4 separate regions of the Mus musculus genome follow, and regions 2, 3 and 4 are each reported to be linked to region 1. The links are microRNA targets in miRTarBase. Many come from high-throughput screens and were not tested one by one. Region 1 holds a microRNA gene; each other region holds the end of a gene's coding sequence.
What was found. The annotated mature microRNA mmu-miR-3064-5p reads UCUGGCUGUUGUGGUGUGCAAA and lies in region 1 at 5,170-5,191, opposite strand. An mRNA with a match to its seed (bases 2 to 7 or 8) in the 3' UTR can be bound and repressed. Matches are read on the target gene's strand: a 7mer-m8 pairs with bases 2 to 8, a 7mer-A1 pairs with bases 2 to 7 and ends in A, and an 8mer does both.

Region 2: the mRNA of Csf3r is a reported target of mmu-miR-3064-5p. Seed matches in the 3' UTR shown: 7mer-m8 at 1,971-1,977.
Region 3: miRTarBase lists Ndor1 as a target of mmu-miR-3064-5p. Seed matches in the 3' UTR shown: 8mer at 3,131-3,138 and 7mer-m8 at 3,897-3,903.
Region 4: miRTarBase lists Pigv as a target of mmu-miR-3064-5p. Seed matches in the 3' UTR shown: 7mer-m8 at 5,799-5,805.

What each region holds. Positions count from the first base shown.
Region 1 is chr11:106,777,567-106,784,683 of GRCm38, forward strand. It overlaps Mir3064 (microRNA 3064), which reads right to left and starts at 5,193; the gene lies at 5,127-5,193. It overlaps Polg2 (polymerase (DNA directed), gamma 2, accessory subunit), which reads right to left and starts at 1,971. Exons shown (of 8, transcript NM_015810.2): 1 at 1,393-1,971. The coding sequence starts at 1,876. Ddx5 (DEAD box helicase 5) reads right to left here. Exons shown (of 13, transcript NM_007840.3): 9 at 6,848-6,958; 10 at 6,535-6,596; 11 at 6,393-6,452; 12 at 4,903-5,127; 13 at 2,790-4,690. The coding sequence ends at 4,284.
Region 2 is chr4:126,042,390-126,049,506 of GRCm38, forward strand. Csf3r (colony stimulating factor 3 receptor (granulocyte)) reads left to right here. Exons shown (of 17, transcript NM_007782.3): 15 at 271-361; 16 at 515-596; 17 at 976-2,586. The coding sequence ends at 1,449. Mrps15 (mitochondrial ribosomal protein S15) reads left to right here and starts at 4,539. Exons shown (of 8, transcript NM_025544.2): 1 at 4,539-4,810; 2 at 5,045-5,089; 3 at 6,246-6,324. The coding sequence starts at 4,681.
Region 3 is chr2:25,241,675-25,248,791 of GRCm38, reverse strand. It overlaps Ndor1 (NADPH dependent diflavin oxidoreductase 1), which reads left to right. Exons shown (of 14, transcript NM_001082476.2): 10 at 46-160; 11 at 307-456; 12 at 552-670; 13 at 738-832; 14 at 938-3,979. The coding sequence ends at 1,082. Rnf208 (ring finger protein 208) reads right to left here and starts at 5,863. Exons shown (of 1, transcript NM_176834.2): 1 at 4,531-5,863. The coding sequence starts at 5,496. The coding sequence ends at 4,699.
Region 4 is chr4:133,655,974-133,663,090 of GRCm38, forward strand. Pigv (phosphatidylinositol glycan anchor biosynthesis, class V) reads right to left here. Exons shown (of 4, transcript NM_178698.5): 4 at 5,452-6,818. The coding sequence ends at 6,537. Among named protein-coding and RNA genes, the nearest start is that of Pigv, 13 kb to the right of the region's middle.

The sequences.
Region 1 (7,117 bases):
AAGAAACAAACCGATCATATAAATCTATTTCACTTAGGGAAACCAGCAGTGAACTCTGAGCCCAGCACTTGGTATCCTGGTACTCAGGGGTGGAGGCAAGAGGACTCTGACACTTTGAAGCAAGCCTGGGCTACAGACTGATTTCAAGGTAAACTTGAGATAAAGAAATCAGGTTCTCAAAAGAAGAAACAAAAGAACAGTCCAGTATCTTCAGAGAGAGAAAGAAAAAAACCAAGTGTGGGGCAGAGGCCAGCCTGGCCTACAAAGTGAGTTCCAGGACAGTCAGGGCTACAAAGAGAAACCCTGTCTCGAAAAACCAAAAAAAAAATCCTTAAACCTGGAAAGACATCTCAGCTGGTAGAAGCAGCTGCTGCTAAGCCTGAAGTCTTGAGTTCTATCCCCAGGACCCACACGATAGGAGGAGAGAACTGACTTCCATGTTATCCACACTGAACTCAAAATCTCATTTTCAGTCTGCAACTTTGATCTAAAAGACTGAGAGGTAAAAAACAGCTGATGTTTGGGGGACATGGTGAGACTGTTTAATCAATCAATACCAAGAATACAGGATAAAATATACTACAATCTAATTGCATTTATCACCGGCTTGCTTTATTTTGCTTTAAAAATTTAAGGTTACAGTATATACTAATTTTCACAAGCTTGGATTTGTAAGGTGTTGTTAGCTACTCCATACTGCTAAACGGCAGAGGCAGCATTTCCGAATTTGTTATATTTGACTTTAAAGATGTGTATCTCATCTTCTAGCTGACAAGCTAAAAAATTACCTGGCAAAAAACCCCACAAAAAAAAAAAAAACAAAACAAAGCAACAAACCAAAAACAAACAAACAAACAAAAAACACCAAGAAAAACCTGAGTTGCCAGGCAGTGGTGGCGCACGCCTTTAATCCTAGCACTTGGGAGGCAGAGGCAGGCAGATTTCCGAGTTCGAGGCCAGCCTGGTCTATAGAGTGAGTTCCAGGACAGCCAGGGCTACACAGGGAAACTCTGTCTCAAAAAAAAAAAAAAAAAAAAAAAAAAAAAGAAAAACCTGAGTTGATAATTGTATTTAAAACTGGAACAGAGGAAGTCTTTGAAAATGCCTTGGTATCAATGAAAGCATGTGACTGATTTATATAAGGTCCTACCTCTATAGTTTTAGGTTTGCTCGTCAAACTGAATGCTTTACAAATTTCTTCAGGAATGATGCCTCGGACCTTTGCCTCAAGGTGGATCACTCTGATGTTATTAAAAAAAAAAAAAAAAAAAAAAAAAGGAACCTGGTCACTTCTTTGCCTGGAAGCCTAGGGCCGTTGCTGTCTCCAAACTCGTGCAAGACTGCTTTTCCACCCCAAATCTGTTCAGAAGCACGAAACGCGAAGAGCCATACCGTGAAGAAGAGTCGCCCGTAGTTTCCCAGAAGTTTTTAATAAGTTCTCAAGAAATGCCACTAGCTGTTCCTTACTCGGCTCTCTGTCTTGCAAGATTTCGCGTATACTTTCTGGAGAGACTAACCTGAAGGCACTGTCCCTCGGCTGCGAAGAGCCCGGCTCCTGGTGGAGGGAGTCCACCGCGAAGACCTGCTCCCTGAACACCACCATAGAGGACCACCACTGTGAGGCTAGGTTCTTTCGTAACTCTACACCCAAAGGTCCAAAGCGCGCGTGGCACCCGCTCAGCAGAGCAGCCGTGCTGAGCTGCTGCGGCGTCCCGCTGAAAAAGTGCCTCCTCCGGCAGAGGTCTACCAGCGCCTCGCGGGCCACCGCATGCTCGGGGGCGTCAGGCTGCTGCGTCCCATCTGCGGGACCCGCGTACCCGGACAGCCAGCACCTGCAGGCCCTGCGGCAGGCCCTGGCGCCGCCACCGCAGCGCATCGCTTCAGGAGTCGGAACACCAGCACCTCCCGTGCAGAGCCGCAGTTTCAAACCTACACCAGCACCAGGGCCTGGGGTGCAGGCACAGCGGAAATGGACGTGCTGTAGACCACGCCCCCGGAAGAGCGTCACCCGCTGCTGAGCAGCAGCCGCCTTGGGCGTATCCCGGCCTCCGCGGCTGACGCCAGCGTCTGATTGTTTACTACCTTTGGGATTTTCCGTTTGGTAACTCCACCTGCCTCACATTCACTTGTTTAGCTTTTACCACAATCCTGTTACTATAGAGTTAGCATCAGGTTTTCCGAGCTGCCAAACAAAACGAAAAAAACCCCTTCCAAAATGTTGTCCTGGACGGTACTGATGTGAGGCTTAGCGTTCAGTCTCCAAGGGAATGTGTTGTGCACTTTTAGTTTATACTAATGCTGGCAAACATTATCACCAATGGCCACTCCACTCTCTCCCGGGTGTGGCTGGACAGACAGGGTGACCAGGTCTTAAAAAGGGCTTCGGGAATTTATTAACCACCTCCTTAAAAAGAATTTTTTTTTTTTTTTTTAAAGATTTGTGAGTTGCTGTCTTCAGACACACCAGAAGAGGCCATCACTACAGGTGGTTGTGAGGCACCGTATGGTTGCTGGAAGAGCAGTGCTCTTAACCTCTGTACTTCCCTTCTCGTAGAAATCAGTTAATACCTGACTAGGACAAAGGGGTGTTTTTGATACTGGAGTTTGATTATAAGGTGCAGGACTGTTGTGGTAGCTCACTCCTATGTTAACATATGCATAAGGGACAATCTCTGACTTCAAGGCCAGCTTGGCCTATGTATCAAATTCCAGGATAGCTGGAATGGGGAAGGCGGGGGTGCAAAAACCCAGGTAAGAGGCCTCTACGCGAATAAATAAATGAAGAGAATGGGGAGAAAAATCACATTTATTAGTTAAGACAACCACAGGCTGGACACAACACACATGCTAAAAAGTGGACTGTCTTTTAAAACTTCAAAGGTAATTTTTTCCAAGCCCCACAATCATTTCCATAATTATTTACAAAATAAAAGGTCCACATTAAGACATTGAACAGTAAAATATGTAATAAATGCTCCAATCTACACCTATACTTAAAAATCATGAATCTGACTAGCCATGCCATTGAAAACCACTCAGTACTAGAGGATGAACCAGTTTTCAATGTTATCAGCCCTGGAAAACACGCCCAGCTCCCACCCCCAGCACATTCTATTTTGTTTTAACATTTTATAAATAAGGCATTAACAATAAGCCCATTTTAAAAACAAAAAGTTAAATAACTTCCTTTAAGACTTTTGTCCTGGGCAAAAAACACACCAATTTTTTGGGAAGACATTTAGACCTACTTATAGCCATTCTGAAACAAAGCTGTTTGCTGGTGATCCTACTTAAATCTAAAGCTTTCCCCCCAATCCTTCTAGCTGTTAAGCCCATAGTGAACCTAACCCGAAAACTTTACTGTGCTTTTGGTTATGTCGTCTTCCTTGTGACTAGCCTACAAGACCCCTAAAATCCCCTGAAATAATGTGGAGACATTCCTGACTTCCAGGTGTGGCTATAAGCACTCTGGCAAGTCCTCGAGGACTAGGAACCTACAAGGTAATCCTGCACTAAAGACACAGTGCACACAGCTCTTGGGCTAACAGTCTTTCAGCTTCGCACATTTCGGCAGTTGACAACAAAACCAAGAGATGGAATAAAATTTTGATAAAGCAAAAATGTCATTACTTAAAACTGTTTTGCAAAAGAAATCAACATGTATTTATATAGTTACTGTCCTGTAGTTCACTCTTAAGGAAAATAGGCTATTAAATGACTTACTTCCCTGATACTGAAAAATGACAAAGCTTTTATCCAATAAATCTGGAATTATAAAATCCATTGTCTCTAACTTCTTCCCATACAAACAGATCATCCTAAGGGCCTTCTGAGTTCCTCTCCTAAATCCAGGAATGGGAAGTAGTCAACTTTCCTTGTGTAAAAATAAACACCAAAACAAAAATCCCCCCCAAAAACACTATCTAAGCCAAGTTGTACATGACATTATATATGTAAAATAAAGTACAATTTCACTTAATTCAGTCTTCAAATATCTTTTATTGGAAGGCCATGCATTGCCTTCATTTATTGTATTTGAAATCACTGTACAGTTACTTTTGTGAAAACACTGCCTGCATTTTCTAGTACAAAAAAAACCTAAAAATTGTTTCAGGAATGTAGAGAAATATCCAACTTAAATAGCGAAAAAAGTGCACCATAATTACTGCTGCACTGCAGTCATTTCTGCATTTCCCATGTTTCTTAAATAACTATCTTGTCTGATAACACACAATATAAAGAGCAATTATGAAAAACAGACATTTACATATACTTCTAAAGTCTTATTGAGAATACCCTGTTGGCATGGGATAGCCAATCATAGGCGCAGCAGCTGCGGTAGCAGGATATGCATATGCCTGTTGGTTCATACCATTGTGCATATTTGCAACATTACTTCCATATTGCTGAGTGCTATCATAACCGTTCTGGTAAGTCCCTGTTGGATTACCAGTCCTAAAACTGGTCTGTATGCCAGCAGATACAAAATTACTTCCAAAGCTCCCATTGGTGTAATTTGCAGCACTGTAAACACCATTCTGAGTTTTAGCCCCAAAATCTCTCTTAAGCAGATTAGAGTAGCCTCTGTCATAGTTTTCCCTGTCTCTAAAGGTATTAAATCCACCCCTTTTGCCTGCAGAGTATCTGTCACGACGATCGTCCTTCATGCCTCCTCTACCCCTGGAACGACCTGTCAAGAAAGTAAGTGGAAATTGATCAATTTTTATCTGTGGCATAAGTGTGGTAAGATAGGAGAGAGTTAGATAGCTCTATTTATGTTGGGTCTTAAGTGCTTTTAGATTCTTTAGGTTTCAAAATAAGAAGTACTCATTCTTCCGATCCCACTTTGTAGACAAGAGGTAACTGCCACCTACCAGAAACATCTCTTACGAAGATCCTTACCTGAACCTCTGTCTTCGACCAACTGAAGCAACTTGGGATTAATTGCTTGATTAGCTTCCCGAAGCACAGAGATAAGGTCGCTCACTTGCTTTATGTTATTAGGTGTAAAGAAAGTGTATGCTGTGCCTGTTTTGGTACTGCGAGCAGTTCTTCCAATTCGATGAATATAATCCTCTGAGGAGTTAGGGTAGTCATAATTGATGACAAATTTCACATCTTCCACATCTGTAAGGTGTTGCAGTGTGGCAAAATAGCAATGTACGGAGTTTTGCACACCACAACAGCCAGACCAAAAATAAAAAGTTAGACAATTGTATTCCCAAGAAGGTACGGGCTGAAAAAAATACAGTTAAAATGGTTATCCATTTCCTGTAGGAACACCATTGAGGTAGGAAAAAAGGGCAGGGTAGGAAAAAAAAAAAACCAAAACACCCAAAAAACAACAAAAAAATTTGCACATGTCAGCTGTCTTAACACCCACCCACTGACAGCCTATCAAGGGAATGTGTGTTCTCCTTAGCACATTCCCAAATTGACAGTCCCCTTACAGATCATCAAGTGACATCTGAATGCTTCTGCGCAGTAGGGCCAATTAAAAGTTTCTCAGCAATCTCTTCATGTGCTCATTTTTGAGGACCTTTTAACAAAAATGTAAAGGTCCTTTGCATTACACTCATCAGAAGTTCAAAACTCTGGCCACACTGCTTGTCTTGCCAAGACCTTACAACTGCAGCTGCAAGAAAAACATACCTGTCCCCCAAAAGTTGTTTTAATGCACTGTGTCTCGTCTAGGCAAGCGCTTCCAAGAAGCCAGGATTCACTTGAGAATGTGTCTCTCTCTGGCAGGTCTCGACATGACGACTACTGTGTAGGTGAGGGAGGAACTTTCAAGGCACTTTCTTTTCCCACTGACTATGTGTGAGAAGTTGGTCCTGCTCTAGGTCTCATGTGCCAGTACTCACCAATTTGTAAAAGGCTTTTAAAGCTGCTCTCTCCATTTCAAACTTGAACAAAAATTTCATTGAACATTGAAGTTTGGAAATATTTCTTCGACATTTCAGCAAACTCACTGAAACTCAAAGACCCACAGATCACAGTGAACAGTTTGAAACAATGCTGTACCATGGCAATCATGCAAAGCATGGGACAGATGAAATACCACGGCAGTGAACTGTGAGGTAACTTCCATTTTTTTCCCCCGGAGAGAACAGTTTATGGGGCAGAGGTGGTATGTTCTGCCCTTTGAAGATTACTGGCACACTTTCAGCTTTTCACCTCTCTAATCGACTGGAAGCAGCCAGCCGATCACTAGTCCTCCATCCCCCTCGAGTCCTCCGATTGTCATGCCTAGGCCTTGCCACAAAGACTGCACCTTTATGTGAAAAAAACTTAGAAAAAATGCAGGTTAAAGAAAGCAATAAACTTTCTTTAAAAAAAACTACATGGAGATCTTCTGGGAAACCAAGCCATGAATTCGAGTTTGTACTAACCTAGCCCTCTGGAGGCCACATCGGTAGCAATCAGAATAGGAGCTTTTCCATGTTTGAATTCTATAAAGACAACCATGAATAATCATTAATGCAAGCAAATGATGTTATCAAGCTACAAACTAATCTTATTTGAAATACATACCATTTAGAACCCAGTCACGTTCCTGCTGACTCTTGTCACCATGGATGCCCATGGCAGGCCACCTATACCAAGAATTAAATTATCAGTAGTATACCCAACTTAAAACTCTTGTCAAGACTCTACCAATATCTATTCCCACTGTACTTCATCTTGGCCAAGTGTTTTCCCACTAAGCATTGCAACCCAGAGCCTACTACAAGTCACTGGAACGAATCCATACAATTACCCCTATATCACAGCGCATGATTCCCAAAAAACACTAGCCCCAGATCAAAGTACTTTTAAGTCTGCTTTGACTCAGGAAACCACATACCCATCTCTCCTCATTTTTCTGGTAAGTTCATCACATCTTCTTTTGGTTTCAACAAAAACAATAGTTTTATTCTCCTTCTCACTCATGATTTCTTCCATCAGACGAATAAGCCTAAAGATGAAGAAAAACTCACCATTTTTAAAAGGATATAAAAACAAAACCAAACACAACCCTGATTTTTTGCTTAGTGAATCCAAATGTCAAACCCACTAAGCCACCACACATACAGATTTTCAGGTGTATCACTTTATGCGTGCTTGTGTAGTGACT
Region 2 (7,117 bases), not on the chromosome of region 1:
TCGAGGCAGGGTTTCTCTGTATAGCCCTGGCTGTCCTGGAACTCACTCTGTAGACCAGGCTGGCCTCGAACTCAGAAATCCGCCTGCCTCTGCCTCCTGAGTGCTGGGACTAAAGGCGTGCGCCACCACGCCCGGCTTTAGATGTTATTCTTTAGGAACCTTTCAACCTGCCAACATTTGACTCTCTCCACATTCAGCACCACTGAGTTCATGACCCACAGTGGAAAAGCCACACCCTAAACTCTTCTTGCTTTCTGTCTCTCACCCCAGATCCATCTGACTTAAACATTTTCCTGGGCATACTTTGCTTAGTACTCTTGTCCACTACCTGTGTAGTGACCTGGCTCTGCTGCAAACGCAGGTGAGTGGCTTCCTTTTACCCATGGGTGCGGAAGTCCCTTCCTGCCTTCCCAGACTTCCGGGCCCCAATCTGGGAGGTCTGTCCTAACATCTCTTCCCCTCTTCAGCTGCCAGATGGCAAGCTGACCCAAACTTCACTTGTCTCCTTCTGCAGAGGAAAGACTTCCTTCTGGTCAGATGTGCCAGACCCAGCCCACAGTAGCCTGAGCTCCTGGTTGCCCACCATCATGACAGAGGTAATCATGAGGCAGAGAGGTGTATAAACTGTGACTGGCAGACAAGGCAGCGTCATTAAAGGAACACACACCTGAGCCCCACTTCCAACCAGACACACACACACATTCTGCTTTGGAGAGATGTAGGCCTGAGTTTGACTCTCCAAGATTGGTCACCTCACTACACAATGGATGCGTGGGTGGCAGAGGGTGGGTTGGGCTGGGGGTCATGTGTCAGGGACATGGTAGGAATGGACAGCTGCCAGGCAAGTATGTCCCTTTGTGCTCTGCCACATAGCAACAAGGGAGATGCCATAACTACCTCATCTCTGGAAGGAACGATGTGTGGAGCAGACATGTGAGACAAACCATGCCGTATTGTGTATATCCCTGTGTTCAGGAAACCTTCCAGTTACCCAGCTTCTGGGACTCCAGCGTGCCATCAATCACCAAGATCACTGAACTGGAGGAAGACAAGAAACCGACCCACTGGGATTCCGAAAGCTCTGGGAATGGTAGCCTTCCAGCCCTGGTTCAGGCCTATGTGCTCCAAGGAGATCCAAGAGAAATTTCCAACCAGTCCCAGCCTCCCTCTCGCACTGGTGACCAGGTCCTCTATGGTCAGGTGCTTGAGAGCCCCACCAGCCCAGGAGTAATGCAGTACATTCGCTCTGACTCCACTCAGCCCCTCTTGGGGGGCCCCACCCCTAGCCCTAAATCTTATGAAAACATCTGGTTCCATTCAAGACCCCAGGAGACCTTTGTGCCCCAACCTCCAAACCAGGAAGATGACTGTGTCTTTGGGCCTCCATTTGATTTTCCCCTCTTTCAGGGGCTCCAGGTCCATGGAGTTGAAGAACAAGGGGGTTTCTAGAACTTTGGGGGTCCTTGTATCTTGAAGACCCTGCCCTATTCAGAGGAGAAGAGCCCTCCGCTGAAATCTACTGGCCCTGAGAGAAGCAGAAAGGCCCAGTGTGTCTCTGTCTCTGGCCCCTAGCACCTCTCCTCTACTCTGAGCTTCTCAGGCTATACCCTGAGGTCACCCACTCTCACACTCTAAGGTTCAGATAGATACTGCTTACAGCCCAATGGTCACCATTCGTCTTTCATATAATTTCAGTCCATTGAACTGATTGTAGGTTTTGAGTTGGGGCTGGTATTTTCAGAAATTCTGGCTGGACGTGGTGGTACATGCCTAGCATCCCAACATCTGGGAGGAAGATGCAGGAAGATTGCAAGTTCCAGGCCAGCCTGGGCTAGCCTACATAGTGAGATCCAATCTCAAAAATTATGCTGGGTGTGGTGGTGCATGCCTTTAATCCCAGCACTCGGGAGGCAGAGGCAGGTAGATTTCTGAGTTCGAGGCCAGCCTGGTCTACAAAGTGAGTTCCAGGACAGCCAGGGCTATACAGAGAAACCCTGTCTTGAAAAAAAAAATTAAGCAAAAGCTGAATAAATAAAGTTTTTTTTATGACATGTACTTGTTTTGTGGGGAGTGGGGATTCAGAGGCAGAGGTCAGAAGACACCTACCTTGTGGGAATTAACTCTGGTCTCCAGCATGTGGATCTTGAGAAGTGGACTCAAAGCTTAGTGACAAGCACCGCGTTACCCATGGAGGCATCTTATTGGTCCCAGAAAAGAATCTCTTGAGCATAGCTTAAGTGTCTTCTACCCTTGTTTGTTTTTTGTCTCTGCTTGCTTGTTTTTCTTTTTATGTATTATAAATAAGTACAATGTTGCTGTCTTCAGACACACCAGAAGAGGGCATCAGATCTCAATACTGGTGGTTGTGAACCACCATGTGGTTGCTGGGATTTGAATTTAGGACCTTTGGAAGAGCAGTCAGTGCTCCTACCCGCTGAGCCATCTCTTCAGTCCAGTTTATTTGTTTTTCAAGACAGGGTTTCTCTGTGTAACAGCCCAACCTATCCTGGAACTTACTCTATAGATCAGGCTGGCCTCAAGATCCACCTGCCTCTGCCTTAAATGCTGGGAATAAAGGTGTGCACCACCACCAGGAAGTGGCTTTCACTTTCAGGGCCCAACAGTCAAGAAGGTATTTCTCAGAATCATTTATCTCCTCCCTTCCTTCCTTCCTTCCTTCCTTCCTTCCTTCCTTCCTTCATCGGTCAGATTTTATTTTATTTTACATGTCTGAGTGTTTTGCTTGCGTGCATATCTGTGCCTCACCTGTATGTCTGTTATCACGGAGGCTGGAAGAGGGCTATCCTGGAACTCACTTTGTAGACCAGGCTGGCCTCGAACTCAGAAATCTGCCTGCCTCTGCTTCCCGAGTACTGGGACTAAAGGCGTGCGCCACCACCACCTGGCTAACCTGGAGCTCCTGGATTCAGCTATCCAAGGAGCCAATGAGCTCCAGGGATCACCTACTCAACTTCCCCGAGCCCCTGTACTGTACACGCAGCTGCTGGGATCTGAACTTGGATGTTTATGCTTACACAGTGGGCACTCTACCAACTGAACCATCTCCCCTGCCCCTCCCCTTTTTGAGACAGGGTCTTATGTAGCCCAGTCTGGGCTCAAACCAGCTATGCAACCAAGGATGACCTCGAACAACTTTTAATCCTCTTGCCTTCCATTCCAAAGTCCTGGGGTCACAGGCATATGCCACTACACCCAGTTTTTACGTACCACTGGGAATCCAACCCAGGACTGTGCATTCTAGGCAGGGACTCTGCTAACCAAACCACATCTTCAGTTGCCTAATGTCATTTGAGTTTCATGTAACCACATTTGTCAGGATTATTCCCTGTGCTAATGGAGACCTTTCCACAAAAGCCTTGCCTGTCTTGGGTCTACTTTCCCCGGCCCTGATCTCAGGCTTGGGATGGTGTGTTCTTTCCTTGCCCCTCTCTTTACCCTCCCCACTACTTTTCCTTTATATTTGCCCTTGCATCCCTCATTTCAGTTTTACCACAGCTGAGTACCGAATACTGACTATTTAAACATGTGTTTTGTATACAGCTGCTTCGGTCTATAGGCTGAACAATGTAAAAGACATTGCTACCAATCTCATTTGATGTTTTGAGAACACTGCAGCCCATAAAGGTAGACTTTGCCCACAGGGTCTCATAGTAATGGCTCAGTACCCTACCAAAAACTCTATCCTTAGTCACTGAGATACAAGCCAACGAAAGAAGGCTAGAACCTGAGGGTTCTTACAGGGCCCCGGTGTCTGGAGGAGGGCCAAGAAAGAATATTAGCCTCTGGAGAAGGTAAGGAGAGTCCCACAGAAGCCCTAAAATAACTAGGACCTAAGACAATGGTTCTCTTTTTTTTTTTTAATTAAAGATTTATTTTATTTTATGTATATGAGTACACTGTAGCTGAACAGATGGTTGTGAGTCTTTTTTTTTTTTTAGATTTATTTATTGTTATATGTAAGTACACTGTAGCTGTCTTCAGACACTCCAGAACAGGGCATCAGATCCCATTACAGGTGGTTATGAGCCACCATGTGGTTGCTGGGATTTGAACTCAGGACCTTAGGAAGAGCAGTCAGTGCTCTTAACCGCTGAGCCATTTCTCCAGCCCCAGGCAATGGTTCTCAACCTTCCTAATGCAGAGATACTTTAATACAGTTCTTCATGTTGTGAAGACCTCTAATAAAATTATTTCCGTTGCTAGTTCATAACTGCAATTTTGCTACTATTATGAATTGTGATATAAATATCTGATATGCAAGATATCTGATGTGTGACCCCTATGAATAGGTCGCTCAACAACCTTCACCCCCCATGTGTCTTGACCAACAGGTTGAGAACTGAGGACCAGGTCAGGAACATAAGGAATTTAGAAAGTGATTAGGCCGGATGCAAGGTCAATAGGTGACATTATAGCGTTCACACAGTGCTCCGGGCCTGTAAGCGTAGAAACAGGCCCGCCCACCAGGCCAAATTCCTGGGCTCCGCCCCAGCTCCCTGACAATCCGGAACCGATCCATTCGCTCAGCCCTCGGCAGCTCTTGTCGCGCTCTCACCTCGATTGGTCGAGCCCGAACCGTCATGGCTGCGCCCATGTAACCTGGATCCACCGCGGAGCGGGCAGTGGCGGTGCGGGCCCCCCGTCGAGTCGGGAGTCAACATGCTGCGGGCCGCGTGGCGTGCGCTGAGCTCTGTTCGTGCCCAGGCGGTGACACGGGCCCCAGTCCCTGCGCTGAGGGGCGGAAGTAGCGCCAGTCTGCTCTCTGCGCGCTGTGGCCTGCAGCCTCCGAGTGAGCCGCCGAGCTGGGTCCCAAGGGACTGGGCGAAGATGGAGGAGACCAGGCACCCGGAGACCCGAGAAAGGCAGTGACAGGATGAGAAAGAGGGTGATGGCTAGGGAAGGGGTGATGAGGAGGGAGATAGGGAAGTGAGGCGGTAGTTAGGTGCAGGTGCCTACAGTTCGTGGGAGAAGGGACATGAGGGGCTGTGTATGGCAGAGTCTCAGCCCTTTCTATTCTGCGTAGGTCTACTGCGCGCCGCGCGAGCATACGCCGCCGTCCAGAAACCAGGTACGAGGACTTGGGTTGTTGAGACTTGAGGCCGCCTGGAAGGCTTGGGGTGGACAAGGGAACAGAGGTGGCGCGCAAAGGGACAGGCCAAGACCCCCCCACATTCATTGTTTAGGGGTGCACGAGAAGGTAGAAGTAAGAGCTTTCGCGTGAAAGCACTCACTCATTTGACAATACAGATCACCAAAAGCTCCGCCTCGTTGTGTGCATCCCTACTGTGTCAGATGAGAGTGAGGTCGAAGCCCGAGGTCCAACCCAGTCCAGCTTGGCTGGACCCAATGAGTGTGTGGCTGGCAACACTAGCAAGAGTTACAATTCTAGGAATGTAACACTTTTTATCTGCTATTCTGAGAGGAAGGATGAAGTTTCCCATCCTAAGTTAGCATGCCTTAGGGCCCTCTAACAAACACATACTATTTGAGGCAAGTTTGCTTTTTTTGTGAACCAGCGCTGAAATGAGTGTCAAAGGATCCATTGGAACACAGTTAATAGGATTCAATCATGGCAGCGGTATGAAAAGCACCCTTAACCCCGTGCACAATAAACTGTGATATCATAGTCTTTATTGCTTCTAGTGTCCTTTGCATAGTGGCAGGACAGAGTCTGGCTTGAGAGGATAGATTATCTTGGTTGCGCTGGACTGGGTTGGACTACAGGCTTCAACCTCACTTCCAGTGACATAGTAGGAATGCACACACAGAAGCCGAGCTTTTAGTGATGCGAACTGGCTATTGACATTCCCTTAAAGCTAGCAGCACTTCCTCTCACCCTGTACTTCATTCATGTGGTCAACCAGCAAGCTTTGTTAAAGTGCTACTTCTAGACTAGACTATGGACTAGGCTGGGGAATCGAGGAGTTAAAGAGAAGCCAAACTCACTCCTGTCCACGGGAGAACCGATCCCAGTGAGGAATCTGATAACTGTAGAGCCAAGTCGGTTTGTGTTGCAGGCACAGTGGATGTCTTGAGAAAGGCCCCTTGTTTGCAGCATGCAACATGCAGGTGCCCACAAGGCTTGCAAAAGAGAAACTGAGCTAACCTAGTTTGAGACCCTTAAACCCTTAGGTACTTGCCACAGATTCGGGGAGTGAGTGAGAGGGATGGAGCCTGGGAGGATGGGAGTTCACGCTGAGTATTTTCTATCCTGTATTTGACAGTCCAACCCAAGCAGGACGATGAACCACCCTCCTCTGCGTTCATCAAAGAATACAAGGACATCATCCCCAACATAGAGAAGTAAGTGGAAAGCAACGTGCTTGTGGGTACAGGCGTTCCTGGGAGGATAGACAGGGAGTAGAAAAGGGGTGACCTAAAGACTTGGCCTGTTGTACTTGAAACTGGATTCTGTGGAGCCCTGGATGTGAGCACTGATGAGGGCCGCAGGTCTGATGGGCTCAGGTGGCCAGCTGGGCACCCGCTGCTCACAGAGCTCAGCTCGCCTTTTGTTTCTGGTACTCTGAGTGAAGACCTCACACTAACAGAGGCCAAAGAACTAACATGCTCTGCTGGTCTTGGTAGAAATCTCTCTTCTCAGGCTGGAGAGATGGCTCAGCAGTTAAGAGCACTGACTGCTCTTCCAGAGGTCCCGAGTTCAATTCCCAGCAACCACATGGTGGCTCACAAACATCTGTAATGGGATCCGATGCCCTCTTCTGGAGTGTCTGAAGACAGTGACAGTGTACTTATATACATAAAATAAATAAAATTAAAAAAAAAAGAAATCTCTCTTCTCTTGACTTCACAAAAGCTTTGTAAGAGAAGAAATTGTGTCCTGTTTGTATAAATGCTTTGTGTTATACAACTAAAAGACAGAGCTAGGACTAGAATCCAGAACTGACAGACACCAAAACCAGAGTCCCTCTGCTTAGCCCCTCTACAGTGGACTGGCTCCATCCTTCCTTACTGTGCAATCTGGCTGTGTCTATCTGAGGTGGAAATCCTTCCTTTGCCTTCCCTGAGACGAAACCAGGACATTCGAGCCAACAACCCCAGTTGTCTGGCTGTCTTCAACCCAACAGACCAGAGCTGC
Region 3 (7,117 bases), not on the chromosome of region 1:
AGGCAGGAGTGCTTTAGCAGGGCAGTGCCATCACTGTGTCCATAGGCTCATCCCAGGAGGCTACAGATCCTTGTGGCTGTGGTAAAGTACCAGACTCGTCTGAAGGAGCCCCGCCATGGTCTCTGCTCCTCCTGGCTAGCATCCCTGAATCCTGGGCAAGGTAAATCCATAGTTCTGGGGCTCGGGGTTGGGAGAGAGTATAGCCTCAAGTGCCCATCTTCCCCTGTTCCTGCTACCCCAGGAGCTCAAGCACTTAGCACCTTAGCACTGTCTTTTGACCTCCTACATGCCATTTCCCTTCTGCAGCAGGACCTGTCCGGGTGCCTCTGTGGGTACGTCCTGGGAGCCTCGTGTTCCCAAAAACACCAGACACACCCATTATCATGGTGGGGGCTGGAACTGGTGTGGCCCCCTTCCGAGCAGCCATTCAGGAACGAGTGGCTCATGGCCAAACTGGTGAGTACTGGAGCTCCAAAGCAGTGTGACCTGACCACTGAGCCTGGTCTAGCTGAATTTCTGCATCCAGACGGGGACCGCCCTATGTACCCCAGGAAACTTCTTGTTCTTTGGCTGCCGCCAGCGGGATCAGGACTTCTACTGGCAGACTGAATGGCAGAAGCTAGAGCAGAAGGGCTGGCTGACCCTGGTTACAGCCTTCTCCCGGGAGCAGGTGAGTATATTCAAGTTAGATAGGACAGGAGTTGGGATGGCTGAAACTTAGCCTCTGACACCTGCAGGAGCAGAAGGTATATGTGCAGCACCGGCTTCGAGAGCTGGGGCCACTTGTCTGGGAGCTGCTGGATGGCCAAGGTGCCTACTTCTACCTAGCAGGGTGAGCAAACTTGGGAATGTCGGGGGGTGGACCAGCCTTTAGGGAAGGGTAGTAGTAAGGGTTGGGAATCGGGATCACTGAGCTTTCTGAGGCCTGCCTTTCCAGCAATGCTAAATATTTGCCTACGGATGTTTCGGAAGCCCTTATGTCCATTTTTCAAGAAGAAGGACGACTCTCCACTGCAGATGCATCTGCCTACCTTGCTAGGCTCCAGCAGACACTGCGCTTCCAGACTGAAACCTGGGCCTGAGGAGCCACTTGCTAGCTCACACTCACATTAACAGCTGCATTGGGTAGCCTGCTGGAGTCTAGAAGGCCCATTGTTACCTCTTGCCTTCTAATCCCAGAACACTGGGTAGACCCACAGTTTCGCTTTTTTGGTCCAGCTGACCAGGAGGGCAGTCCTTGCGTACAGCCAAACTCAGTGGAACCCAGTGTCCCATACGTAGGCCCAGCCCCGGTGCAGCTAGAACTCCTGGTTTTCTCTCAGACCCCTTCATTCTGCCCCAAATCTGCATTTATAGTCCCTACCACCAAGGGCCTGCTAAGCCCTCCAAAGGACATAGAGCTGTGCGGGCTGCACTGCCCGTCTGACCCCGTGCTATTCCCATTAGTCCCATAACACCTGTGCAGCTCAGCTCAGTTGAAAAGCCACCAGGGACCAAGTCTCCTGAGCATTGGGAATGGGCAAATCTGTCTGTCTGCAGGTCCATAAACATGAGTTAACTGCCTGGGTAGCCGCTCACTTCTCTTTTATTGCTTCTAGATTTGAGAGTGGTGGTTGGGACATGGATTATCTGCATCTGCTAGTGGTGGGCAAAGAGCCCTCCAGGGCATGAGCACAGGCTTGTACTGACAGTTTAGCCAAGCTAGTCCCCTTCTCTGATGGCCACACAACTCAGCCAAGCTCATATACCCTTCTCTCATGGCCAAGCAGAGAGGGCTTAGAGAGCTATTTATTTGGAAGTCCCAGCCAAGAGCCAGCATGCACTATTCTTTCCAAAGAACTGAAAGAATGATCAGGTGGAGGGGGTGTGATTTGTGTTGGCCCGCCCATGGGCAGGGCCTCCACTGCTGGGAAGGAAACCCTGTTGGAGCAGTCAGACAGGTCCAAGGGCAGCTGGGCGCTAAGGAACCTCGGTTCTGTCTGTCAGCTTGTGGAAAACAGGGACCAGACCAACACCACTCTTAGGCCTCAGATACCAAGAGTTGACATGCTGCGGGGACCCAAGTGAAGCTTACTTCCAGTGAGGTCAGCAAGCCGAAAGGGTTATCTAGAGGTTAGTGCTCAGGTGGATGGGTGGAGGCCAAGCTCTGCCTGGCTCCTGAGGGCCACACCTTCATATCTACAACAATCCCTGCAGTCATCCTGGAGTCTCCGTCTACGCATCCTGACCTCTGTTCTAGTGGTAACCTGGGACCTAATGACACCAGCTCTGTGTCTACTAGTTCACCCGGTGCTTCTCTGGGTCCTGAGCTCTTGGACCCACTGTGCCAGCTACCAGCAGATGGAGAGGATGATCTCAGGGCCCCTCTGGGTGCCAGAACTCCAGACAGTAAACCGGAACTGGAGGCCAGAGACCCATCCGCTGCCAGGGCCCTGGAGTCAACTGTGGAAGAGCAGGAAGGTGAGGGGCAGGTTGTGGAGGAGGAGGAATGTCCCATCTGTGCTGAGCCTTATGGGCCTAGTGAGCACCACCTGACCCTGCTAAACTGTGGTCACAGCCTGTGTGTGGGCTGCCTACACCAGCTGTTAGGCATGACCCCCAGAGCTGACCTGGGCCGTGTGTGCTGTCCACTGTGTCGTCAGAAGACACCTATGCTAGAGTGGGAGATCTGTCAGCTGCAGGAGGAACTGCTTCGAGCTGATGGACCCCAGCGCCCAATGCGGACTGCATCCGTCACAGCCCTGCATCCTGGCCCTTGGCCCTGGGGTCCCTTAGAGCACCGCTACCAGCTGCGCTTCCTGGCAGGGCCTGTGGGAGGGCGAAGCTGTCTCCCCTTCCTGCCCTGCCCTCCCAGCCTAGGCACCTGGTTGTGGGCACTACGGGAACGTGGCCCCTGTGCCCGCCGCTTGTCACTGCTGAGCCTACTGGTCCTTGAACTGCTCGGGCTGGTGGTCATCTTCATGCCGCTCCTTTTACTAGGGGTGCTCTTCATGCTGCTAGACCGTTCCACCCACTAAGCAGAGCCCAGAATGCTGGCCAAGCTTTGAAGTCCATGCACGCTTGGATTCTGGTAATCAGCAAAGACTTGTTATCACCAATACCAAGACTATACATGCCTAAGAGCCTACGCCAGCCAGAGTGCTTACACACCCTTGCAGCCTAGATATTAGCTAAAGCCAAGGACACAAGGACAGCCTCTGAAGGAGCTTGGCCTGGCAGAAAGAGTTGTGAAAAGAACCCTATGTGCTTGCCATGGGCGGTCATCTCACTGGCCACAGGCAGAAGCTGGGCTATACCGCCAGCTCGTAGTCCAGCTGGTGAGAGTGGACACAAATGTGTGATTCCAACAGTGATTCTGTTTATCCTGAGATCTGTTCATTGGAGAAGGCAAGGGCTGCAGACTCTCACCTGCACCAGACAGAAGCTGGTGTGTGTCCTGAAGGCAACAGCAGCAGCCACAGTAACTACCAGGAGAGGCCTGCACTGCACAAGCCAGCCTTCAAAAGCTCCCACCCAACCTAAGCTACTCTCACCAGAGAAGGTAGCCCAGAGGAGCTGGGATCAATATTGCCTTTGTTTTGCAAGGGCCCATCCAGACCCTGAAGCCTCCAAATGCCCAAGGTCTAGCTCTGTTCCTAGTTGACTCTGCAATTCATGTCACTGGACCAGGAGCCCTCACTTGGGAGATGCAGACAAATCTAAGCTCACTTCATGGCTCATTGGTGACACAATGTAAGGTGTAACATTTCAGGCTGAGTCCTATATAACAAGCATAAGAAAGGCTCTCAGACCAGGCAGTGGTGGCGCACACCTTTGATCGCAGCACTTGGGAGGCAGAGGCAGGTGGATTTCTGAGTTCCAGGCCAGCCTGGTCTACAGAGCGAGTTCCAGGAGGACAGCCAGGGCTACACAGAGACACCCTGTCTCCCAAAAAAAAAAAAAAGTTCTCAATAAACAGTTGTTACTGATTCTATCATTACCTCTGCCATCCTCATTATTACTCCATCTCTGCCATCCAGGCACTCTCCTCACAACCCTTCAATGGTACCTGTTCCAGTCATAGGCAGATCATTTAAAAGACTGCTGGGTCCTTGGTCGTAGCCAACTGTAAGCCTCTACATATGCTGTCCAGAGGCTGTTTCCATACATCCTTGGCCAGAAGAAAAGTACGTGGGTTTTTTGGACAGGATCTCTTTGTGCAACCCATGCCGACTTCACAACCCTCCTGCTTTAGCTTCCAGTGTGCTGGGACTACCAATGAACTTCACCACACACAGCTAAAAGTTCTGTCTCCCTAGCTGGGCCCCATCTCCATGTACCAGTGTGTTCCCAGCTAGTCCAGACCTCCTAAGCAGTACACTCGGGCCAGCTTGCCCTTCCACAAGCAGAGCAAGCCAACCTTGAATGGAGCTGGTTCACCCTCTGGCAGCTCCTGGTTAGACCATGTTGGACTATAGCCTTGGGAACCTACCCTAGGTCCAGGCATGGGCATAGCCCACAGGAGTTAGCTTCAATCAGTGAACAAGTGCAAACTTTGGCAAAGAGTTTTAATGGCAAAGTTGGCTGCAGCGACAATGCCACGCAGGGTAGGGCCAGAAGCCACAGTGGGCAAGAAAGGGTCAGCGGGCAACAGGACAAAGCCAGTTCCCTGAAGAAGCGGCGAGCAAGGACCTGCAGGCAGTAGTGGGCAGGTGGACACTACATGATGGAACAGGCAGATAGTGGGTTCCGCACATGGCAGGTGCATGCAGCTCCACAGTACTGCCGGAAGGTCTGGTAGCAGCTGCCTTCAGATTCACCCCCCCACTGTCCACCGGATGGGGCAGTCAGGGCTTCAGGTGGCAAGCGGCTCAGGATGGATGTGTTGACAGCCAGTGCAGCCAGGCCATAGTCAGTGAAGAGCACAGTCTCACGGTGGCAGGTGGGACAGGAGATGAACTTGTACTTAGGGCAAGACTCATAAAGAATCTGCAGGCACTGCTCACACACGGAGTGCAGGCAAGACAGCACACGGGGCCGCCGTTGAGTGACGTTGTATGTATGCCCACAGGTGGGGCATTCCAGGGGCTCACCTGCTATCACTGGCCCAGACGATGAAGGTGCAGAGGCTGTTGGGCCAGGTCGAATCACATACTGATTTACAATGACCTCATCCACTGGTGCCACCCGGGGGAAGCCCAACTCAGAACTGCCTTTGCGGGGCCGCCTTGGCAAGGGTGGAGTGTGGGATGCTCCTTCCAAGGTAGGCATGTCCCCCCCACATGCCTGGTTGACAATGATCTCTGTGTCTGAGGGCCAAGCACGCTTGGGTGCCAGAGTGGGAGTGGGCCTGGGTGCAGGAGGGAAGCAGGGGGTGGCCGCCGGGAGCTCAGGGAACTTTTCAGGGTGGACAATCTTCATGGCCTCCATTTTGAGGATGACATGGGGGCCTTTCAGGCAGGACATGAGGAGGCCCGGCCATCCACTGCCCACCTCAGGCCCAGGGTCAGCTGGCATCCGGCTCTCTACAGTCAGACTGGACGTTGGCACAGGTGGGGGTGTTGGGTGGGGCCGTGGGGGAAGAGAAGGGGCTGCATCCTGGTCCTGCCAGGCCTGGTGAGGACCACGGTTACTCTGTGGACTGCAAGGGGCAGCCGGTGACAGCTTGGAGGGCAACCCCCCTCCCAGTGGCCACAATGGCTTATCTGATTCAGTCCGAAGAGGAGGAGGAAGAGGAGGGGGAGGGGGAAGCAGGCGGGGACAAGGGGGTATGGGTGGCTGTTTGGGGCTCTGGAGCTCACCCAGGGTCTCTGTCTGCTGAAGCTGGCAAGGGGGCGTGGAGGGGCCTCCTCCTGTAGCAGAGGTCAGCAGTCCCTGGGCCGGGACATCTGGGCAGGCAGGGGCTAGGTGGGCCCCATGGCTCCAGGACAGGGCGCCCAGGGAAGGCAGCTAGCCTGATCCCTGGCTGCCAGAGGACCTGGGCTGAAGGCTCCGCGGCAACAGCAATGGAGAGGCCTGCACCAGGCCTGAGCTGCGGGTGAGAGACAGCGTGAGGGCAGCACGGGGCCCACCTCACTCTCGCCCTTGCCCTCGCCCCCATCCTTCACAAAGGACAGAGTGCCCGACCTCTGACCCTGACCTCATCCGTGGGATCTCCACGGAACTCTGAACGCAACCCCCTCCCCAGTATACTCTCCGAGACCGGACTCACTGTCCGGAGGACTGACTATGAAAATGGAAAGGGGTGATGTCTCTGGCCCCCGCCCCTCCCCCTCCCACCCCCGCTCACCTGCCCCAGCCTGGCGTTCCCCGGCTGCGCCGCCGCCGCAGCAGAGGTTGTCTCAAAGGCAGGCCCGGATGCGGCGCTCACACCTTGCTCTAGTGACTCCGATAGCTCCCGCGGCTCCAGTGGAGACCTCGGGCGATGGCGGGCGCAGACAGCACCCAGGGCGCGAGCGCTGGTGCTGGACGCAAGGCTCGGCGTGGTGGCGGCGACAGCGGCGACGGCGGCGGCGGCAGGTGCGTGCGGAGCGTGGCGCGCTCTGCGGCGGAGGCGCGGGGACCGCAGTGCGCGCGGCGCCCGCCCGCGCCCGCAGCGCCACCCCCTGTCTGGGGACCCGCGCGGGGTCCACGGGGCGGGGCCAGTCTCCTAGCCGCCCCTCGATCTACGCCTGGTCTGGCGTCGGCTCCCAGTGTCGACCTCCCAGCTAGCTACCGGCTGGTCAGAATCCCCGTGCCGACAAGATTCCCTTGCCTCTTGGCTCATCCCCCGAGGGGCCAAACCCTCCCCCCCCCCCAAATTTTGTAAGGGAAATCTTCATGTTTTACTCCCTCATTTTGAGCCTCACAATGCCGAGCAGGGGTTCCAGCGTTCCACTTGTGTCTCAGCTACCTTTCGAGCTCTGAAAGGGCAGGGTCCTTTAACTTCAAACCCCGACACACCCCCTGTGTGAACGCCGGGAGTTTTCCAATTCACTGACGTATCCACACAAGGATTCGTCAAAGAGGGAGTTGGGACAGCAAAAGGGACAAGGGTTTGAGTGGATACCAGAAGAGTGGTCACAGGGAACTGGGGCAGTCACAGGAAGCTCAGAAGTTTCATGGACTGGAGATGGAGAGTTGGAAATACCAGGTATAG
Region 4 (7,117 bases), not on the chromosome of region 1:
GAGTACACTGTAGCTGCCTTCAGATGCACCAGAAGAGGGCATCAGACCCCATTACAGATGGTTGTGAGCCACCATGTGGTTGCTGGGATTTAAACTCAGGACCTCTGGAAGAGCAGTCAGTGCTCTTAACCACTGAGCCATCTCTCCAGCCCTGCGGGCAAGCATATTTATAGAATGAGTTATCTCTGCAGCTCTTCTTCCTTTCTTCTCCCCCTTCCGGGAATGTTATTTGTCATTTAATGGCAATGATGTTGTCACTGTGTGCTCTCCACTGCACTCTTTTGCTCTCATGATGACTCTGTGGGGCCCAAGCTGCCACGTCCTTACAGCCTGTTACGTTAGCTTTCCCCAGGGAGGTATGAGCACACACGTCTGTCTGCCTACCTAAGGAAGACATAGCACCTGCAGCAAACCAAAGACCTGAGCTTGGTGAACCCATCAGTTTAATTAGTCAGCCAACAGGAGTGTGGGCAGGTCCCCGATGCCTCCAGTAAGCATTAATGGCTTACATATCCCCAGGGAGGGAAGGACCCTGCACTGCCCCTCCCAAGAAGGCTTGTGAGTGCTCCTCCCTTCCCTGAGGGGCCTTGAGGAGCAGCTACGCCTGAGTGAGCTCCACATGCAGATGAGAAGGCAGGTCTAGAGAGGGCCAGCCATTTGCCCAAAGCCCCACAGTGCCTTCTTTCTCATCTCTCCCATCCCAACACCACTGCAGTAAACACTGTGCGGATGCCTCTCCACTCATCCTAGCCTCTGAGAGTCCACTGTCCCAGCACGTGAAGTGCCGACGGCACAATACACTCCAAAACCCAGCTATTCTTTTGTTAGCGTTTTCCTAAATTTGTCATGTGTCAAAATTTAATTTTTACAATTATTCTGTAAGACTATGTTATTCCTATCTATGTTCAGTGCAGTCATTCCTCAGTGACCCAAAGAACTGTCCCCAGGGTCTAGGAAGGGAACCCCAGGTACAAAAATACAAATGACATAGGTTTTGTAAATAACCTATGTAAGAAACCCTCTTGCACCTTTGAAACACGTCTATAATCCATAATGTGTAAGTGGTATATAAACAGTTGTACTGTGTTATTTAGGAAGTAATGGAAAAGGTCTAATATACTCATTCAGTCTAAGCTCCACCCCACAGTTACCTGGCAACAGCAGGTGCCTGACTCACTGTAACAGGGGCTGCTCTGCTCTCTCTAGCTCTTGCCTTCTTGCTCCTACTCTGTCGGCTCGCCCCCTTCCCTCCTCCCTTCCTCCTCGTGCTCATGGGGCTGGCCTCTACTCTTCTCTCTCAGTCTCTCTTTCTCTGTCTCTACCACCCTCTCAGCTTCCCTTGCCATGCCCTGAATAATCTCTATTCTATACTATGTGTGGCTGGTCCCTCAGGGGGCAGGGATGACTCAGCATGGGCCAGCTGAGGCACCCCCTCCCCTCTTACCTGACTACACCTCTGCAAAACATGTTCCTCCTTTCTTTATCTTTTTTTTATAAAACACAACACTCAGTACTGATCAATTTCTTTTTTTTCAAGTGTTTCTTTTCTTTCTTTCTTTCTTTCTTTTTTTTTTTTTTTTTTTTTTTTTTGAGACAGTCTCACTATGTAAGCCTGGCTATCCAGGTACTTGCTAGATAGACCGGGCTGGCATAGACTTAACAGAAATATGCCTGCCTCTATCTTCCAAGTTCTGAGACTAAAAACCTACCCCATTCAACGATCTCTGATGTGTACGGTGGTGTACATGCATGTATGATCTCAACCTGGAGGATGGACAGTTCTGGGCCAGTCTGGGGGATGTAGAGTTCAAGGTCAATAAGAACTATTATGAGATGTCTCAAAATATCCAGAAGTAACATTTACCTTCCCATAAGGGATGGCTGAGTTTATGGATAAGAACTCCGTAGGCACGGGGACAGATGAGAGAAGTCAGGCTGAGTTCAGTGAGCTCACACAGCTTTAGTGTACAGTGGGTTGGCTCTGGAGCCAGATCTTAGAGTAATTCCTTGGCTCCCTTCAAGCTGAGCGCTCTTCCCTGATTCTCTTCCCATCTGCTGTAGTCACTCTCTGGCTGGGGATGTAGCTCACCAGTACAGCACAGCGCCTACCTAGCTGGCCTGACAGGTTTGCCCCCAGTGCTGCCAATGCTAACTAGGGCATGGGGGGAGATAATATACTCACTCGCTGCTTTCAACTCTTTGAAGATGTGTTTATTCTTATGTATATATGTATCTGAGTGAGTGTATGCCATGTGTGTTCAGGAGCCCAAGGAAGCTAAAAAGAATGTCAGAGTCCCTGGGGTTGGAGTTACCAGAGGTCTTAAGCTGCCCAACAAGGGTGCTTGGAACCACATAGACCACTGGAAGAGCAGTAAACACTTTTTGTTGTTTATAAAAAGATAAAGAGGGAATTGGTGGAAGTGTGGTTAAGGTATGGGGGAAGGGGGTACCTCAGCTGGCCCATGCTGAGGCATCCCTTCCCCCTGAGGGAACAGCCACACAGTATAGTAGAGAATAGTTTATTCAGAGCCTGGGGAGGGGAGTTAAGGGGGTAGTAGAGGGGGCTGGAGAGATGGCTCAGCGGTTAAGAACACTGACTGCTCTTCCAGAGGTCCTGAGTTCAATTCCCAGCAACCACATGGTGGCTCACAACCATTTGTAATAGGATCCTACGTCCTCTTCTGGTGTGTCTGAAGACAGCGACAGTGTATTCACATACATAAAATAAATAAGATCTTTGAGGGGGAAAAAAAGAGAGAGGGTAGGAGAGACAGAGAAAGGCAGGGAGAGAGGGGGAGGGGTGGGGGGAGGGATGTGGGGGGAGGGGCTAGAGAACAGAGGGAGCAAGAAGGCAGGAGCAAGAGACAGTGGGGGGCCAGGCGGTGAGCAGCCCCTTTTATAGTGAGTCAGGCACACCTGGCTGTTGCCAGGTCACTGTGGGGTGGAGCCTAGACAGAATGCTAACACTTTTAACCACTGAGCTATTTCTCTAGGCCATGGAGTTTAAGAGTGTTTGTGTTCCTATGTGCAATGTGCTCAGGAGTGCAGGTTGTCAAGGTTTCCTGGTGTTGTCTCTGCTGGAGCTACAGTGATAGGGTCTTGTACTTGGGTCCCCTACAAAAACAGGACTTGGGGCTCTTAACCACCGAGACATCTTTCCAGTTCTTTTTGTTTTGTTTTGTTTTGAGACATGGCCTCACTACGTAGCCCTGGATGTCCTGGAAATCACTCTGTAGACCAGGATAGCCTCCAATTCACAGAGATCCCCCCTACCTCTGCCTCCCGAGTCCTAGGATTGAAGGTGTGCACCACAGTAGGCTTAGATTTCACAATCTTCCTGCTCCATCTCACAAGGGCAGGGACTGCACGTGTGCACCACACCATCTTCAAATTAAAACTTTAATTCATCCTCGTTATAAAAAAAATTTAAGTAGAAAGATAGCAAAACATGTCCTTTATGCCTCAGAATTTGCTACTTCTGGGCCAGCACTCAGAGGGCTCAGTGGGGGAAGGGACTTGTCCTCAGGCCTGACATGCCCAGTTTTAAGGACAGCATAATAAAGAACTAAGACTCAACAAGAGGGCAATGCTGACTTCCACGTGGGCTATAGGATGTTCATGTTCACACACACTCACACACACACACACACACACACTAAAATGTTGCTTTTTAAAGAATTTACCACTTCCCTAATGAATGCTCCGGTGCACTGGCCAGCAACACTTGAGGACAGGAGGCGTGGCTAGGCCTGCCTTAGTCCAAAACAGGCATTAATAAACAACTGGTGAAAAGAATCCTTTTAAAAACTTAAGCCTCCACACTTTACATTTTTAGACCCAGACTTCCGCTGCCCCACCCCAGTGGGACTACTAGAGACCCGCCAAAGCTTCCCCTTTTCCCACCTCCATTAAAGAACAAAAAGACATCCACTTCTGGGTCCTCAGAGTGTCTGGTTTGTATTTTAGCAGGGTCTTGGAAGGAAATGACTTTTCTCTGAAACCGTGGCCGCCCCACCCAGCTGTGGCATTCTTAGACCTCGGGGAAACAGGAAGCTCCGGCCTTGGGCCCTTCACGGTCCTCCTTCAGACTATTAAAGACTGTTAATAGGCCGGTAAAGGGACAGCTGCTGGTCATAAAGTCAGCCCGCTCCTTACAAGCTGAGCCGTGAGCCTCCCAGGCCAGAAGCCCGGCCTTCTCCAGGTGTGCTTACCTAGCCGGGGTGCCCAGGTGTAGGGTTTCTTCAGTGATGGCTCTAGGGACAAAACAGGGGAGACTGAAGCTGCTCTGTAGGGGGTGAGTCACCTCTCCCAGGAGAGGAACAATCACTTCTGGTTACCCTCCAAACGGAGGCAAAGTGGAGCAGAGAGGGAGACCAAAGGATCCCGGCTCCTCCCACGCACTTTTTTTTTTTTGGAGGGGGAGGGGGAGTCCTAGGATTTGCAGCTGCTGGGGAAGAGGCTGCAGTCTGCCAGCTGGAGGGACACACTAGGGGAGAGGTGTTGTCTTTTGCCAAGAAGGGCACTTGGTGTCTTGGCAGAAGGCAGAGGGCTGCCCCAATCTGTGTGTACATTTTCAGTAGCATTTGACTCTGGACCAAATGCTTGGCTGTGCTAGTGCTGTGGTGCTGGGTGGGAATGCTCGTTGGCCAGGCTGGCTGGAGGCTCCCACAGAGGGTGCTGGGCCTGGGCCAGGAGCTTCCCTTCAGCTGGCAAGTTGAGCTTTCTGTCACGGTCGGAGGGAGTGTGTCCAAATTCCAACTCCGAGCTTTCCAGAAGCCACTGCTGACTGCCATCTGTTTTGAAGAATGCTGCTTATTGGAATTTTTGGCCCAATGGGGAGTAAGGATGGTGACACCGAGCCAAAGTTACCTGGCTCAAGAATGCACAAACGCTGCGCAGCAGGGACACTGTCTTTCATTTATACAGGGTCTTATTCTGTAGCTGCCCTCAAGCTCACCTCAAGCCTCAGCATCCTGGAGTCATCCTTCCTCAGGGGCAGGGTTACTCTTAGTAACCACAGGGAGCCAGGAAGCAGGGCAGATGCTACAGTAGACAACCTTGGACTGACTTAGCTACAAGGTTCCCCCATCAAGGCTGTGGGGTAGGTGCCTCTGACTCATGCAAGTGTGATCTTTGAGAATGGAAAACCAGTCACCCTGGGTTACCCTTTTCCACCAGGTGTCATTACTCTCCACGACAGCTTCTATTCCGAGTTGTTCCCAGAGGTGGGGGGGAGGCTGTTTCCAATTGATCAAAGGAGGACTTTCCCATTAGACCACTTGTGAGCCTCCATTTATCTTTTGTTTAAGGTAGCCTCAAGATTTAAGGCCTAAATCACACCCCAGGGAAGAAGTCTCCTCCTTAATTTCAGAGAAGGCAAAAGCTCTGAAGGTGGCTTTAGATCATACAGCTGGAAAGTGAGGAATGGGAGCCAAGATTCAGACCCTGTGCTCTGATCCAAGTGGTGTTTATTACTGAAATTAGGGCCTCGTGTGCTTTACTACGGAGTTCTAGCCTCAACCCTCTATAATTTATAGAAACTAGTTCGGCAGAGGTAGGAGGATCTCTGAGTTCAAAACCAGCCAGATCTACATAGCAAGCAAGTTCTAGGACAGTCAGAGTTACACAGAGGGACCTTGTCTTAGCTCCCCTGACTACCCCTCCTCCAGAAAAAGGTAATTCATTGCAAAAGGAGTATTTAGATTTTCACAGTCTGTAGGATAGACACAGACACACACACACCAGTATCATAAAGAAAACTTCAGGGAGCTGGAGAGATGGCTCAGTGGTTAAGAGCACTGGCTGCTCTTCCAGAGGTCCTGAGTTCAATTCCCAGCAGCCACATGGTGGCTCACAACCATCTGCAATGGGATCTGATGCCCTCTTCTGGTGTGTCTGAAGACAGCTAGTGTACTCATATATAATATAATACATCTTTAAAAAAAAAAAAAAAGAAAACAACCACCTTCAGAAACCTCTCACTTAGAGCAGGCTGTCTGTCCCCTCTTCCTTCTGTCACTACACTGCACTGACTCCACCATCCTGAGTGGGGCAGGCTGTTGGCCTGTGCTTTGATCAAACATTTAAATTTATCCACCAGGCCAGGCAGGGGTGGCTCACACTCAGTGGTGGGCCTAGTACTCAAGAGGCAGAGGCAGATGAATCTCTGAGTTCAAGGCCAGCCTGGTCTACATAAACTTGGTCTACAGAGTGAGTTCCAGGACAACCAGGGCAATGTAGAGAAACCAACCTTCTCTCAAAAAACAAGAAGACAGACTTACACGTGGATCAGTAGTAGGTTTAAGATTGCCTAGTACTTGTGGACTAGGGAGATCTGAGACCCCTGCACTGAGCACTGAAGTTACTCCCCTACACCTGCCCCGCCCAGGATGAGAAGGGGCGCCTGTGCTCCCATTTTCCCTTCTTAGCTGGCCCCCAGAGAGACCCAGAGATCCTACTGCACAGTGCTCTCCGGAGTGTGCGGGCTGTCCCAGCCAGGGTGTCGTCTTAGAGCTTTCATTCCTTGACACTCCAGGTCAAGTCCAAGGCAGGAAGTTGCAATGGAGAATTAGTCCCAGAAGCCAGTAGGTCAGGAAGTAGACCAGAACGCATCTTGTGACTGGAGAGCATCTCTTCCAATCGTAGAAGAGTTTCATGAGACAGTTTCTGGGGGCCTTCTGTCCTGGTGGGGACTTCTCCTGAGGAAGCTTCCCAGGCTCTGTGTCCACACACCTCAGCAGCGGTTCTTGATCCTGAAGCAGGTGAGCTGGAAACCAGTACATGATAGGAGTGGAAGAGGCCAAAAACCGCGTGAGAACCTAGAAAAGCCATGTTGGTTGGAGCATCAGTGATGTGGCTGGGTCAATCATGGCCTGACAACGAACAACATCCCACTGGGAAAGCAAGTTCAGCAAAAGCTGCAGATCTGCCTAATACCGAGAATGTTATTAATCTGCCGATGCCAGACAAACCTCGTGTTCCCAACAACCAGTCTCAGTGGAATTACCACACTAACGGGCCAACCAATACTAAAAGGTCTCTCTGAGGTCTAATTTTACCCACAGTCTCTACATTTTAGTCTGCTTTGGAAGTAGGAACCTGGAGGCTCCTTATCAGA